Linked DNA regions of Arabidopsis thaliana. The protein of the gene in region 1 interacts with the protein of each later gene in a pairwise test. Each region holds a gene or a part of one and is shown on either strand. Other genes may lie near its edges. The genes, in order: TED6, AT4G10080 and AT4G13530.

Region 1 (4,305 bases):
AATGGTGATGAGGGTATAATAGTAATTTGGTGGTTGGCTGTTGTTCGTTAAACAAACCGTGGGGTGAAACAAGGGGTGCTAACTGGTTTGAGATTCTGTGGGTTTTGTTTAAAAAGTTAAATTTGTCCCATTTAAGACAAAACTTGAGAGTGATAAAAAAATTTCTTTTTACTTCCAATTATATGAACTTTGAATTTTAATGTATTATTTTTGTATTTTTCTACTTTTAATGAATTTTTTAAGCTCTTGAATTCTAAATTTGTGATCTTGCTGTTCAATTGTTATTGCTATAATTAAATTTAGTCGTTTTAATATCTATAATGGATTTTGTTTTTGTTTTAGTGACTTTGTACACGAGAATGCCAGTTGTACGTAACTACGTATTCAACGAGCCATTGGATCTTATGGTTGACAAAGAAAAGAAAGGACGAATTTTTATTTTATAGGATTTCTAATATTTAAATGTTGTATTAGTTTCAGAATGATAATTCCAATGTTTATTTTATGTATGAATGTGATGTTTGGTAAGAAAATATTAATTTTAATTGAATATAAAATTGAATTCAACCAGAACAGTATTAGACAATGAATGTATCAATTTTTGTTTAAGCTTAGAAATTACAATAGAAACTTTTTGAAGATTTAGCTCAAAAATAAACTTATATATGACATATTTATATATATATATATATATGTGTGTGTAATTTTCTTATCATGTATGGAGACTTGGTAAGTTAGCATTATCAAGACACAATTTTTTTCTCCATCTTCAGAATTAATGTATTTGTTTTGTTAATTAAATACGTATAATTGTTTTTTTTGTTTTGTTTTGGTAAATATTAAGTAGAACTATAATGAGAAGATTAACATGGTATATGTGTTAGTATACCAATACCAAGTTTTCAAATAGAAAAATGTCCAATTTTAAGTATGATTTCATTTGACATTGTATGTTTTTTTTAATTAATATTCTTATCGAGTTACAGTTACAAATTATCTGTTTTAACCAAAAACAACTATCTATTTTATTTCTCTACAGTTTTTTTTGAAAGATTACTTTTCTTAGAGAGATAGAGATAAAAGTTCGCTCCTAGAACATAAAAACCATCACCATTCACCAACCCAAGTTTGAAGAACCATCTTTGTCCAAAGAATTTAAATAAATATTTCAGATGCTTTTTTTTTATTTCACCAAACAAATGATTCACACACAACCACAATTTTAATATAAATAAATAGATAGGTAACATTATGAATGAAGAAAGCTCATTCACGAACGGGAAACGACTGATGATCCAACTCCACCATCTTTCTTCAGATCTTTCTCTTCTCTCTTGATCGCGTCTTCGATCTTAACATCATCCTCAACTGATAACACCACAGACTTTTGTCCATTAGGTCCTTCGACTATAGCTTCCTTCATCTTAAAGTGTTCATCCACGCGAACCGCTTCAGATCTCTCACGGTGCTTCCTGGATCTCTTCTTGATCAAGAACCAGATAACAAACGCTAGAAACGCCAAGAACATGACACAACCCAAAGAAACAAACACAACTACTACAACAGTAGTGTCATGGTCTGGAGTTGGTGTGGGACGGTAAACTGAATCCGTGGAGGCCATTACTTGTGTTTGATGTGTGAGGCTCTGATGATTTATTTCTTGAGGTGGAAATGGTTTGAGGAAGATGGAGAATCATGGGGCTTATTTGTAGTGAGTATTGAGAGTATAGGTTGCTGCTAAGTTTGTAATGACTTAACTCCCATCCTAAGGTTTTGTTTGCTTGTTGTTTTTGTTAAGCTAACCTAGAATGTTTAAAAAAAAAAAAAAAGAGTAAAAGCCAAGAAAAACAGGCACTCAGCTCAAAATATCTTATTTTGTTGGTGTAATCCAAAAATATGTAAGAATTGTAAGAGGTAAGATTCATAATTCTCACAATTCTTGTTTCATAAAAATACTCCATATACTAAAGAAAAGTAATGAAATATTAATTAAAAAAAATAAAATATATATGAACATACAAAAGATTTTTGATATTTTGTTCTTTTATCCAAAACTAGACAAAAGCTTAAAAATAAGATTTGAACCCTACATAAGTTTCAAATTCTCAGCATAGTCTAGAGAAGTGTAAACTCTCGTACCCTTATAAGCACTTCAAGACCTTGTATTTGAACTCTTGTGAAACTCCTCCTCTCGAGGTTGAATTAATCAATGTAACATGGTTCTAGTACTAGACAGTACGGTGACAACACAACTTCACCTCTACCAGTCATTCCAACAATGAATAACTCGGTATTTTGAACTATGTTATCCCACCAAGAAGGCAATATATGTTGGATTAAGCTTGAAGAAGACTTAAGTAATAAGTCATTTATTTATTTAAGAGAAAAGGAATTCCTTGTAATTCTAGGAGTTATCTAGAATATTCATTAGGAGTTATCTAATGATTAGGATAATGTTGAATCTCTATTATATAAGGAGATACCAATGTGTGGTATAACTTATGAGCTTTTGAGAGAGATTGTGAGATTGAGAGCTTTAGGTTTTGAGCTATTTTCCTAAAGTAATAAAGAGAGTAATTCTTTATATTTTGAGTTCTTAATCTTTCTTAAACTCTAGATTTGGTATCAGAGCGTGAGGCTATTGAATCAATCATAAGAAGAAATGAGTGATATCGTTCCCGCAGCTAGAACAACGAAAGAAGTTAGTGGATCCTCTTCAATCCAATGTCCTATGCTAAACGCTATCAACTACACGGTATGGGCCATGAGGATGAAGAGGGCACTAAAGGTTCATAAAGCTTGGAACATGATAGACAAGGTGACAGAACCGTTTGATGAAGATAAGAGTGATGTTGCTTGTGCTTTGTTGTTTCAATCAATCCCAGAAGCATTAGCTTTACAAATCGGAGAACTTGATACAGCAAGAGAAGTATGGGATGCAATCAAATCAAGACATCTGGGGGTAGAGAGAGTCAAGGATGCTAGGTTACAAACCCTCATGGCCGAATTTGACCGATTAACAATGAAGGATTCTGAGAAAATATATGACTTTGCTGGCAAGTTATCTGAGATCTCAGCAAAATCAGCTGCTTTAGGTGTAATTATTGAAGAATCAAGACTTGTTAAGAAGTTTCTTAAGAGTGTTCCACGAAGAAAATACATTCACATAGTAGCTGCACTAGAACAAGTCTTAGATCTTAACACCATAACTTTTGATGACATAGTTGGTCGGCTGAAAGTATATGAAGAACGTGCATGTTTTTGATGGAGATGATCCTCAAGAAGACCAAAGCAAGCTTCTGTATTCAAATATGGATTCTCAAGGAAGTTACTCAAACAATCGAGATCCAGGAAACGATTCCAGGGCAGAGGTCGAGGAGGAAGAGGATATGAAAGAGGGAGAGGATGTGGACGTTCATATGGAGGAAGAGATACGTCAAGAGTAATGTGTTTCCGATGCGACAAGTTAGGTCACTACGCTTCAACATGTCTTGATCGATTGTTAAAGCTACAGGAAACGCAAGAACATGACAAAGAAGAGACACATGAAGCGGATGAGCTCATGATGCATGAGGTGATATTTTTGAATGAGAAGAATTGTGTACCAAGCATGTATGAAGCAAACACCGAAGAAGAAAACATATGGTATCTAGATAATGGAGCTAGAAACCATATGACAGGGGATATAAGGTATTTTCAACATTGGATGATTCAGTTTCAGGCAAAGTACATTTCAGAGATGACTCCCGTATCGACATAAAAGGAAACGGTGATCAACAAAAAGTATCTAATGTCTATTTCATTCTGGATCTTAAGAGCAACATCATCAGTTTAGGACAAGCTACAGAATCAGGCTGCAACATTACGATGAAAGGAGATCAACTAACGATGCATGATCGTGATGGGAAACTACTTGTCAAAGCGTGTAGATCGAAGAATCATCTTTACAAAGTAAGAATGGGAATAAAAGGAGCTACACGTTTGCACTTAACAACAATAAGTGAATCAAGTAGATGGCATGCAAGGCTAGGACATGTGAACTTTGATACAATTAAATCGATGATGCAAAAGGAGTTGGTTCAAGGATTCTCACTTGGAAGCATAAAAAAAGAACTTTGCAGCTCATGTTTACTTGGAAAGCAAACAAGACTTGCGTTTCCAAAAGCCACTCTATTTAGAGCTGCCAAGATTCTTGAACTAGTCCATGGTGATCTATGTGGTCCTATAACGCCAAGCACCGCTGCAGGAAATAGGTATGTATTTGTGCTCATTGATGATCATTCTAGGTACATGTGGACTATTCTG
Region 2 (6,320 bases), on another chromosome or scaffold:
CGTTGTAACCTAAGTTTATTTCTAGAAAATGGGTATGTAGTTTTAGCGGGGTTTTTTCTATAATTTTTGGTTTACACTATTATATGATAATTTATTCATAATAAATAATAAACATTTCAATCTACAGAAAGATTTATTCGCCTCAACCGCTCGAATCTATATTCTTCTAAACATCTCCAATGTCCATCTCTATTTTTTTTCTCCATTTAGAGGTGATTCTATGTTAGATACATTTTGCTTCAATATATGTCTCTAAAATAGATTTTTCTCTAAAATAAAGGAATCTTACGTTTTAATCTATATAAAGAGTAAAATCTATTTATTTTCTCTATTTTGGAGAAAAAAACTATTTTAGAAGAATACATTGGAGCAAAATCTAATTTCCTCTAAAATAAATTTGTCTCTAAAATGAAAGAAAAAAATAGAGGTGTGCATTGGAGATGGTTTTAGACCGTCTACTCTATTTTAACTGATACATCCCCTATATATTAATTGAGAAGTATTTTAAATAAAAAACCTTACATTCACGTGTGATTTACAAGACTATCATGCTGACATGTCGTAACCAGAAAAACTTTCAACAAACTTAATAGTTATCCAATATTTACTAGACTAATTACATATAATGCCATTAGTGGTACTTATGCATATTTTTCCTCTACATTTAAGAGAGTAGCAATTAATAAAGAAAATTAATCAAAAAACCATATATATTTGAGCAAACAAGTAAAAAGTATATATCATAAATTATGATGAACAACATATAATATAAATGTTTATTATATGTTTCGTACTTTATTTTTTTAGGTTTTATAGAAAACATTTAGAATTTTAACATATATGACATTCTATTTTTTTGTTATAAATTGCAAAAAATCTAAATGTATATGTGAGCCCATATGATTCTTGAATATATTCGGAACATAGTTTTACATAAATTAGTTAGTAACATTTCATTTATTACACATTCACTATGAACAATATTTCAATATTAATCTATGTTAAAAATGTATCCGCTTACTGATTACTTTCAATATTATTTCTTTTCAAATTTTTACCTTATCAATTTATTAAAACTTTTACACAGTTTATTCAATTTAATTAGTCATTTACTCATTTTAGTTAAAATTTATTTACAACCCAAAACCTTATCGTAACAATATAAATTGATTAATAAAATAAGGGATATGCAATAAATCAATCCTAACTACATAGAATTATGAAGAATAATAAAAGATAATCAAAAATTTATTACGTTTAAAACATAATTATTCATACTCTTTTCAGTTTTTATATTGAATTGTTTCCAAAATAAAATCTTATAAAATACAAAAAATATTCGAATATATTTCTGAATTATAGGAATGATATTTCAGATTTTCTTTTGGGTCAATATTTTAATTTAAAATCTTATTCCAAATATAGAATATCCTAATTCCTAACTAATAAAATCTCCAAAATATATCAGTTACTAAATCATATTCAAATATTCACACTTATATATCAAGTGATAATATAAAATCTGTTTCCAAAAACTTGTTTATATATTTCATATAACTATTTCTCCCTGTACATAGTTCGGGTAAATCATCTAGTATTTGATTAATTCATTTGATCTGCACCATACGATTCGTCGTGAACCCTAATTAAATCATTGTGAAAAACCAAAAAAATGAAAGAACAAAAGGAATAAATACCATACTTCTCTCAATCTACCAACCTTTAATGTCAAAAGATCTAGTTGAGTACTGAGAATGTTACGTGACCAATTAGATACCTCTACATAACTACTTCCTCAAAGTGGATAAGAACCATTCTTTTCGAAACAAACTAAACTATTAGAGACTAAACCATTTAATTTTGGAGCGGACAATAATCCGTTATAAACTAAATTTATTTCTATATAAAATCGGTCTAAAGTTTTTACCGATTTTTTTTTTCTATATTTTTGGTCAGTACTATTATAAATACTAATCTATAAATAATAAATAAGAAAATATTTCAATCTACCGATGGATTTATTTGCAAAACCCACCTCAACCGTTTGAATCTTGATTATATATATTTTTCTTACATCGTCTACTCTATTTTAACCGATACATATTTGTTTAATTCATTTGATCCGCACCATACGATTTATTGCCGAATCCTAATTAAATCGTTTTAAAAAATAAAATAAAAATGAAAGAACAAAATGAATAAATACTATAGTTCTCTGAATCTACTAAACTTTAATGCCAAAAAATTTAGTTGAGGACTGAGATTGACACGCAACCAATTAGATACCTCCACGTAATTACTTTCTCAAAGTGGATAAGAACCATTCTTTTCCATCATCAACCGCTCTAATTTGTTGCGATCCTTTTCCAATATTTGGGGTTTTATCCATTAGGGTTTCTGATTATTGCAATCCCAATCTGAAATCTTCGAATTCGATCATCATGGATGATTGGGAGCTTCTTCATCATGGCTCTGATACAGAATCAACTGATTCAATCACATCGGAGACGAAATTAGAGAGTTCAAGCGTAATCGATGACGGTATGATTCTTTCTGATCATTTCTCTGCTACTGATCGGGTGATTGAATCGGGTTATTTTGATTCTTTTCGGGTTGATTACGGGTCGGAGTGTCTGAATCCGGGTGAGGTTAGTGTTGATTCTGGTTTGGATCAGTTCAGTGTTAGTCAATCGGGTGATGATTGTGTCAGAAATGAATTTGGGGTTTATGATTCAGAAACTGGAATTTTGGGTGATGGTGAGGTTAGGCTTAGTGATTTTGAAGCTGCCAATGAGAAATATGTTGAGAGCGAAGCTGCTACTGAATTAACTGGTGGAACCGTATCTCACTATGAAACAGAGAATCTCGAAGAATTCGTTGATGGAAGGCACGGTGAGAACGAATCGGGTGTTGAAGAACCTATTGAGGATTCGAGCAAGTTGTGTTCTGATTTAGGGGGAAATGAATTGGTTTCTCGAGATTCTGGGGTTGTGAATGGTGAAAAAGAAGTTGTTTCTGATAGTGTAGTTGCTTCTAGTGAAGTAATTGAGGGAAGTGGAGGAGATACTGTGGAAGTTGGAGGCGTGAGTTCTGGTGGTGAGGGTAAAAGTAGAGAGACTGTGTGGTGGAAGATGCCATTTGTGCTTCTTAAGTACTCTGTGTTTAGGATTGGTCCGGTTTGGTCTGTCTCTATGGCTGCTGCTGTGATGGGTTTGGTTCTCTTGGGACGTAGATTGTATAATATGAAGAAGAAAGCTCAAAGGTTCCATCTTAAAGTTACGATTGACGATAAGGTACACTATATTATCATTGACCCTTGTGTTTTCATTTTGCTTGAAGTTGGTAAGCTGGTCTAGATTGATACGTTTTAGGAGTTAGCTACACTCTATGTTGTGTTGATGCAATTGGTCTGACTTGAGCCGTAGAATTTCAAGTTTAGTTTAGTTCTTGTCTTGTCCTGCCTTATATTAAGGTGGGGGTATTGGACGCATGAATTTGATAGACTTCAATAGAATCTTAAATTCTAGTGTTATTCAATTAGACATTTCACAAATTCTTTTAAATTCTTGTGTTATTTAACTTGCTCATTTCTTAATTCTATTAGTTGCAAGTGTTATTCAGTTTTCGGTAGTTTTGTTTGACAACGTTACTTCACAAGAATTTAATAGAAAAATTGGTCTAAAATGTGAAGAACAAATTCTGAGTTTTTGAGTTGAGATTTGGATAGAATATAACACATCCATCCTTTTTTTCTCTTTCATCGATTTGCTTCAACCATACAAAAAAAATTCTCAAATCTGAGGGAGAGTGTTTAACACATTTATTAGAATCTGTGATTTCGATCCGGTTTATTCTTCGGATCATCATTCGTTCGATTATATATGAGGAGAGTGCGTTAATCTATAGAGAGCAGATGAGCGGAGGTTGTGATGACGTCGTTGTCGTTGTTGTCAAAATATGGATCTCTTCCATTTCATGTAAACGTCAACGTAGATTGTTTCTGGGTTAAGAGGTTTGTGAAGGAAAAAGTACAGTTTTTAGAGATTGGGCATGGTGGCTGTCCCGATAAAGAGCATTGTGGAACAAAAGATTTCAGTAATTTATCTTCTTAATTCTAGTAGAATTCTATTAAAAATACTGCAAAATATTTATTTGAATTGAGAAGAAAGATTCGAAATTCTTTTATTATACCTGAAAATCTAGAATTTATGTCCAATACCCCCCTCTAAGATATAGATTTTGTAGTTAATATGTTCTTGTAATCTGTCTGAATTAAGTACAAAAATACTGAGGCATCATCCGCTGAAAATGCTGTGATTTGATATTTTCCCTTAGCGCACATCTCTTTGCTTGGTTGGTATTTGTTTGGTGTTGGTTTACTTCTATCATTATCACGTCTTGGGTTGTTTATGATCTGTGCAGAAGGCGTCGCGGGTGATGAGTCAGGCTGCTCGACTCAATGAAGTGTTCACAGAGGTAAGAAGGGTCCCTGTGATCCGCCCTGCTCTACCATCGCCTGGCGCATGGCCGGTTTTGAGCCTTAGATGAGAAGCCGTTTTCTACAATACCTAGACACAGTGGAGAATCAATCATACAATGTCCATCACTTTATGTACCGTAAGAATACAAATACATGTGTTTATGTCGTACCTATGCATAAGTAGTAGTTTACCATCTTATGAAATCGCGTATGTGAGTCGTGTCCCAACCGTGGGATACACTGCAGAGTGATTACCGTAGCGATTTATGTATGTTCAGAGACTGAAAATCCCAGTTGGTAAGCCTTTTTCTATGTTTGATCTTAAGAATTTCATAAGCTATATGTGGGTTTTGTTATGGATTTCATTGGGGTTTCAAGCTTGTAAACTATTATAGAGAGGAGGACATAGTCCAAAGTCGATAAAACCACTACAATGGAAATAAAGACCCTACAAATTTCTACTATGTTGTCGATTCTACAAAATTTGAGTAGAAGCTATCGTCTCAACAACATCCCCTCGACGATCAACAAAGAAAACATCATTATTTTTGATAACTTTAAAAAAAAAACTGGTAGCCCATTTTTAGGCCCAATAAAAGCCCGAACATTATAAATAGACGTTAAAGCCTTAAACGTTACTTCTCCACCACCGTTCAGAGTCGCAACCCAAACTCTTTTCACTGCCGGAGATAATTCTCTTCTTCCCCAAACCCTACAGTACTCAGCTTTCCCTAAATTCCTCGCCGGACGATTCGTTTCCAGATGACGGAGGAAGATTTTGTTGTTATCTCTACGCCGCCTGTCGATCTCAAGCGAAAGCTCGACGAAGTTGAGCTTAATGGAAATATCGTGGATGATAGCAATCAAACATCTGATTCTTCTCAGGCTAAACGAGCGAAGCTAGAAGATGAAGCTCAAGATGGTTTAGGTGTTTCTGTCTCTTTGGCTTCTTATAAACTAAAGTTTTGATTTTTATGATGTTCTATGGTTATAGTTTTCAAAAAAAGAGATTTCTTTGAGTTTGTTGATAAATCAGTCTTTCTCATTGTTGTTCTTCGGCCTTTGTTGTAGATTATGGGAATACACAAGAAAATGGGTCTTCAATGGAGGTAAAAGAGGAAGAACAGCTTCAGGAACCTAAGGAAGAGAATCAAGATTCTGTACCACTTGTTGAGGAAGTTCAGGATCCTATTCATGCTGATGAGTCTGAAAATAAGATTTGTAGTGTAGATCAGCCAACAGATGATCAGGTTAAGCCTGAGGATAACCAACAAGGTTGTATTGAGGATGTCAATGGTGGTGAACATCAGAAGGTGATTGATGACGATAGTAAGGAAGTGAATGATGGTAGTTCTCAAGAGAATGGTAAAGAAGAAAATAAGGAAGTGGATGGTGAAAAATCTCAGAAGGAGGTTGATGGCACACAGTCGACAACTCGTAGGATAGATGTCCCAAGTTCAAAGGTGATATGATTTGGTTTTCATTTTTGGCTGTTCTGTGAGTTTTTTTCTTTCGGAATACTTTCACTGACGTGCTTATCACAATGCTTTGCAGGTAGGTGTGTTGATTGGTAAAGGTGGGGAGACTATACGGTATCTTCAGTTTAACTCTGGTGCCAAAATCCAAATTTTGAGGGATTCAGAAGCTGATCCGAGCTCAGCGTTAAGACCAGTGGAGATAATTGGAAGTGTTGCATGCATTGAAAGTGCTGAGAAGCTTATCAGTGCAGTCATAGCAGAGGTTAACAGTTGTTTTTTTCAGTAGTTTTGGCATCTTTGTATCTGTAAGATATTTGGTTACAAGAATTTCTTCTCGTACTACATTAGGCTGAAGCAGGAGG
Region 3 (6,113 bases), on another chromosome or scaffold:
CTTCCTTTCTCAAAACATCAAAGATGAGATTATTTGTGAAAGGTCTTACCATATGTTGTGTGGATGAGATCATCAAGCTCATTCTTGATAGCAAAGTAGAGCTGCTTCCACCTCTCCACAGCTTCTTCCCTCACTGCTCTCTCTAAACACATCTGTTCCACGACCCATTCCCACTCGTGTTGTTTCGCCTTTCCTTCTTCCTTCTCTTCCATCTTCTGTCTCAGCCTCTTCACTTCCTCTCTCAGTCTCTTCCTCTCTTTCCTCCACTCTGTCTCTGCCATCTTCAACGCCAAAATCACTCTCTCTTTCTCATCAAGCTCTCTTCTTGTTTCTCTCCTTCTCTGTTCATTTGCTTTCACCTTGATGCGTCTCTTACTACTGTTTCTCTCATCCTTGCTTGTAGAACCACCCATGAAGAAAAGCTCTCTTTCTCTCTCTATCTCTGTAGAACTTTTGTTCTATTTTGAATGTCTTGTTTGTTTCATTCAATGAAAAAAAAAAATGATTATTGTGAGTGAAGAAAGCTCCACTTTGCGGCATTGCAGACACATGTTATTTATATAATATGGTCCAAACCAAAAGCATCTTCACTTATCCTAAACACACAATAGGAAAATTATGGAATGTCTTATCACAAAACTAATCACACAAACACACATTGTGGCTTGAGTTGATTATTTCTTATGGAAACTGAGATAAAAAGACAAAAGAAGTTATGGGCACTCTCAGGACATAGTACTGAATAGGAAACAAGAGAAAAAGGAATTGAAGTGGTGTTACAGAATATGAAAAGCAGTGTTTTTTCTTCAATCTCCAATTAATGGTGTGGGCTTTGATTGTTTGTCACATGCATCATTAACATGGACCCATACCTATTTACTCCTATTTTTTCTTCCCAATATTTGTAGGTTTTATAGGTTTCTCTCAAACTTTTGGTCTAATTTGTCTTCTTCTCATGGAGGAAATTGTTACATAGGTCTTAAGTTATTGTCTGTGTTTTTATAGACCGAATCAAACATAGCAAACCAAAATTTGAGTATGTTACGTGAAGACAATGGGTAGATTTATCTTGAAGTTCGAATTTTGGTTTGCTTTATTTCCGTTAAACGTCAATAGTTAAACTTCATGAGTATGCTTTAGCTTTGGATCCTTAGTTCCTTACAATACTCACTTGTGATTTAAGTATGATAAGTGAGTATACCAAACTTTGGTGGTACAATGGTCAACGAATAATAGAGTGAAAGAAGACAAAGAAACAAGAAGAAGAGACATATATCTAATCACAATTGACATCGTAGAGTTTAGGATAGCTATAAAGTGAAAGATAGACTCCTACATGGCTACATCAATCAGAAACATTGCCCTCTTCACGTGAACTTCCCTGTTAATTTGGGTTTTTGTCTTAACCCTTTTCATATCTTAAAGAGTCGTACTTTCTAAATAAACAACCAAAATTCCGTTATTGGCTTTTGTCTTTGTACAATCTCTTTACGACACTGCCTACTAAGACCAGCTCAGAAGCTTATCAAGGTTAGATTCTGACCGCAACCTTCCAAAACTGCACTATGATTCTGATCCAATTTGTATTCCACCAAGCAAGTAACAATATATACACACACAGTACAAACTTACAAGCATCTTTTTGTATGTTTTTGTAACATTTTTAATACAATCATATGATACATGCACCAACCACATCAAATCATATAATCTCACATATATGCATTATTATGCCCTCAAATTCACTTAATTTTCACCTTAAACTCATCATGGACCACTGGTTCATACCCACTGATGACGGAAGTGCTGGCCGGATTATGGGCACACGTTTCACTACCGAGATTGCTTCGTTCCACCGAGCAGCATGATTCGCCACCTTCTGAAAAAAGTATTTCATTCAAAAGACAGACAATACAAGAATCAGATGGTGTAAAAATCTTCCGAATTGTGTTCTGAAATACTTAGAACTTTTGTTCTTCATTGCCATGAGTGAAAAAGATGAATACAAGTCAAGCAAGAACGTGAATTTCAGCAGCAAAAGACATATTTGATCCGCCAAGTTATATGCAACCGTAAGCAGGATTCAAACTTGGGTCCTTACTGAGGCTTTGTACCAGTGGAAGATCAGTTAAACTAAACTTTCAGGTTTTACCACTACTTTTATCCATTCCTCAAAGAAACATTTTACGATAAGATTCGTAATATATAGTAACTTCCATCTCTGGCTACCAACATGAAAAATCTACAAAGAATAACTACTGAAAACTAGTCTAAAGATCTTTCAACTATCCTTTAGCTATTAGAAAGAACATGCAAACTCAAAATGTAAAAATAAAAAATATGTTGTTTAAGCATTATAGGAGATGAAACAACAGAGAGGACGGACAAAGAAATAGATCACCCAGGTGGTATTCTAACGACTATTAACACTGCTCTCACCAACTACACATTCTATGCCAAAAGTATCTATCAAGAACTCAACCGATGCAGTGGTGCTATATCAAAAACCCTTAGCAAGATAGTGTAAATGGGTACGAGTGTATGCCTGTTGGTGAATACTATGACCTCGAGTCGCTGGTTGCATCTAAACTACTTAGCAACAAGAAACTGGTCCCAGGACAAACAAGGGGATGATCTGATCTTCTCATTTTCCCCATCAAAACAACAATTGACACTAATAAAACATCTAACTAAGCAGTAAAAGTTGAACTAAGCAGAGCTCATATCACACCAAAAGATCATACAGTAACCACATGACTCATGAATCAACATACTCAAAGAACAATAAACAATCAAATAAACCAAGCTAGTTACCTTATCATCCAAAAGAACCTTAAGCTGCAAGGAACGAGTCTTCTTCTTCATATTGTACAATCTACGCCCTAACATAACAAAACCCACAAATGCTGCAGCCATGGACAAAGACCAAATAGGATTAATTTTCAACACACAATACTTCAACACCTCTATTGGAATTTTCCACCACACAAACCCTTTCTCTTCTCCTCCTCCACCACCAGATTTAACACCAGGATCAATAGAAACAGAGTTTCCTTCTCCTTCCACTGGATGAAGTAAAGATTCTTCCTTTCTCTCATCAGAGCTTATCAAATCCATGTCTTGAGCTATACTTTCACTATATTCAACAATACCCACTTCGTTTCTCTCTATACCCATCTCGTTATTCACATCATCATCCACTAACCTCTGATCATCAAGCCGATCACTGCTTGAATCAGACCATAACTCACTAAAATGCTTCGGACCATAAGGAACATCGGAGCTAGGTTCGATCCATCCTGGACTACCCGATTGAACAGACCCATCTTCATCGTTTGCCTCCAAACGAGACAAACCACTCTGGTTCTCAAGAGAGAAATGATCAAACCTAATCATACCTTGCGTGCCATCATCAATCTCCTCCAAGCTCCTCGAATTGTCATCTTCCGTGGTAGATCTCGAGCTCTGAAGTATTTCCCAGTCTTGAATCTCTCCTTCCATGTCAAAGTTAGGGGTTTTTTCGATCCAATTGAGGAAAAGAAACAAAAGGAGTCTTTGTGTTGGGGCGAAAACAGAACCGAAACGCTTCTTTCTCTGTGTGGAGATCACAGAAACACTAGGTCGTGGTGTTAACGTGGCGTGGTGTGATTGGATAGAGGATGAAGTCAAAAGAGTGGTTTCGTTGACGTGTGGGTTTATGATAACTATATGGATTGACAGTGTATGTTGTTACGGTGGGCCGAGAAGTAGAGGACCTTCAACCGCTTTTGCTAATCAGATATGCTCAACTTGAAACTGGAGGGAGAGGAAGCAAACACGTCATATAAATGCATTTTGTGAAGAACATCATAATTTATTGATACCGAACCAAATCCAATAGAATGTATTTTTACTTTTTACTATTTTACTTTTCGTTTTTTTACTTGTTTTTTCTCGTTCAAATTAGGTGATCGATGAATTGATAATTTAATTGTAATCCGCGTAATTCATATTCCTTCGGTTCTATTTTGTTGATTTTGAAGAAAAAAAAAATTGTTTCAAAAAAATTGATTTTTTAAAATTTTTATGTAATATTTATTAGTTTTTATTAATGAATTGTAAACTTTAATAAAAATAATTAAATTTTATTGGTTTAAAGTGATAGAAAATTGTAAAACACAAAATATAATATATTTAAAATCAACTTTAATATATTTACTTTTGTGTGTTTTTTTCTAACAATCAAACAAAAAAAACAGAGAAAATATTTATTTATTTTTGCTAAGAAACATAGGAAATATTTAATATTAATCGAAACCCAACTTTTTTTTCAATAAATGTTTAGCGTTAATATCATAGTTTAACAAACATTCTTTTTTATAACTCAAAATTTTAGAGTTTAGTCATTAAACCAAGATGTGGAGATTTTATAAAGGTTGAGGTAGGGAGGAGAAGAAAGTTAAGAGGCTCATGGATGGTGGCTTGCAGAGATTTGGGAGTTTTTGAGAGAGTTGATGACGTGGCAACTTGAGAACACATTTGTTAAAAGGCTGAGGTGGGTAGTGTGAGAGGCCTCAAATAACTTTTTTTTTATTAGTAAGAGATTCTGAAAAGAGGTTACCGATATCTAATGAATTGCTATCGAATGTTGAAATCTCATGAAATTTGGCTACACTACATACATACGACTATAAGGCAAGTAACAAAGACTGCTAGGGACTGACAAAGTGACAAGTGACATCTTTATGCTTAGCCTCCTTTTCCTTTCTACCATAGTTGAACATCAAGCACATTATTTCCATCTCAAAACCGGCCCAGAGAATATAATATGACACGATGCAACAACAGAACTTGGCCAGGGGAATTATACACCCCCTCCTACATACCACAAGACAGGAATTATACACCCCCTCCCACATACCACAATACAACACACATTCAGAGACCACGAGATGGTGAATTTACAAGAAATCAACATGGAACAAGATACCATATCCATATAAATCATTGACTGATGTATCTGAGTTACATGGAAGATACAAGAGACTATTTCTCTTAGGCCATTAAATTGTTGGTAGGAATATGTGCTTCAGTATGAGTTCCCTAGTTCACTTAATCACTAGTGGAAAGTTACAGCTTACATGAGGATTTCATCTCTCACCGGGAAGTTTCTCTAGACCCGGTGAGTCACATGAATATCAACACAATGAAACACATCAACACATATTTCAGAGACCTCAGATGTTGAAATTACAAGCAATCACAATGGAATATGGTACCAAATGAATCAATTAGTTTCTATCTTAAGCCAATATCAATAACTTTCACATTCTTCACATACAAATTCACAACATTCTTCACATACAAAGACTCTAATTTTCAGTTACTAAAATACCAAAACACTAAAGAAAATTAGGTTTCAATCTCCAAAAAACATCATCATCTCCAGAACCAAGGAAAAAAAAAACATTCTAAATTTGAGCCAAAAAAAACAATCAGACAAAGCACAATAACACACAAATCAAATGTTTTAGTAATCCAAATGAAGAAAAACATTGTTACATACCACAAACATAAAAATCCCAGAACTTATTACACACTTACTACATAGGTTTCTCCACAAATTACATCAAGTTTAGGAAAAAAAACTGAAATCTTAAAGAGGAAACTTAACCGGATTTAGTTGATATCGGTGTCATCGAAATCATCATCGAATTTGTTGAAGAAATCGGCGTCGGCGAGCTTGTTATCTGAGACAAGTCCTCCTTCGTTGAGTATCTCCATGGCTTCGAGGTCATCAACGTCCATGGCCATCGAAGAACCTGCATCATCCATCTCCGATAACATATCCAGCTGCATCGGCCTCATTTCTCTCTTCGTCTCTTCTTCGTTTTCTTCTTCGGGAAAGATCTAAAATGTTACAGTGACTGACTGTCGAAGTTTTGATGTTGAGGTCATTTTCTTTTAGGCCTAAATGTTGTGGCCCATCTTTATCTTCTTAGGCCCAATTGATGTGGCCCATGTTAATTTTAATCGTTCATTTTTCGTAGTGATTTTTAGCTGAATCTGTGGATTTTTTTTTTTTTTTTTAAGATACATCAGTTGAGGAATTGGCTGAAAAGTGGAACTAGAGG

The links.
Region 2: the proteins of TED6 (region 1) and AT4G10080 interact in a protein complementation assay, tested with the Arabidopsis thaliana proteins (one large-scale study listed by BioGRID).
Region 3: the proteins of TED6 (region 1) and AT4G13530 interact in a protein complementation assay, tested with the Arabidopsis thaliana proteins (one large-scale study listed by BioGRID).

The regions. Positions count from the first base shown.
Region 1 is NC_003070.9:16,573,268-16,577,572, reverse strand, and holds TED6 (tracheary element differentiation-related 6), read right to left. Parts: upstream 1,815-4,305; 5' UTR 1,622-1,814; coding exon 1,271-1,621; 3' UTR 1,032-1,270; downstream 1-1,031. UniProt on the Arabidopsis thaliana protein: Involved in the secondary cell wall (SCW) formation of vessel elements (e.g. protoxylem and metaxylem), thus promoting tracheary element (TE) differentiation.
Region 2 is NC_003075.7:6,298,682-6,305,001, reverse strand, and holds AT4G10080 (uncharacterized protein), read left to right. Parts: upstream 1-2,257; 5' UTR 2,258-2,441; coding exon 2,442-3,293; intron 3,294-4,422; coding exon 4,423-4,548; 3' UTR 4,549-4,983; downstream 4,984-6,320. Other genes in the region: AT4G10070 (KH domain-containing protein), read left to right, coding at 5,243-5,408, 5,552-5,943, 6,035-6,220, 6,307-6,320.
Region 3 is NC_003075.7:7,864,196-7,870,308, reverse strand, and holds AT4G13530 (uncharacterized protein), read right to left. Parts: upstream 3,982-6,113; 5' UTR 3,502-3,981; coding exon 2,815-3,501; intron 1,880-2,814; coding exon 1,754-1,879; 3' UTR 1,133-1,753; downstream 1-1,132. Other genes in the region: AT4G13540 (golgin family A protein), read right to left, coding at 50-413; SMAP1 (small acidic protein 1), read right to left, coding at 5,659-5,847.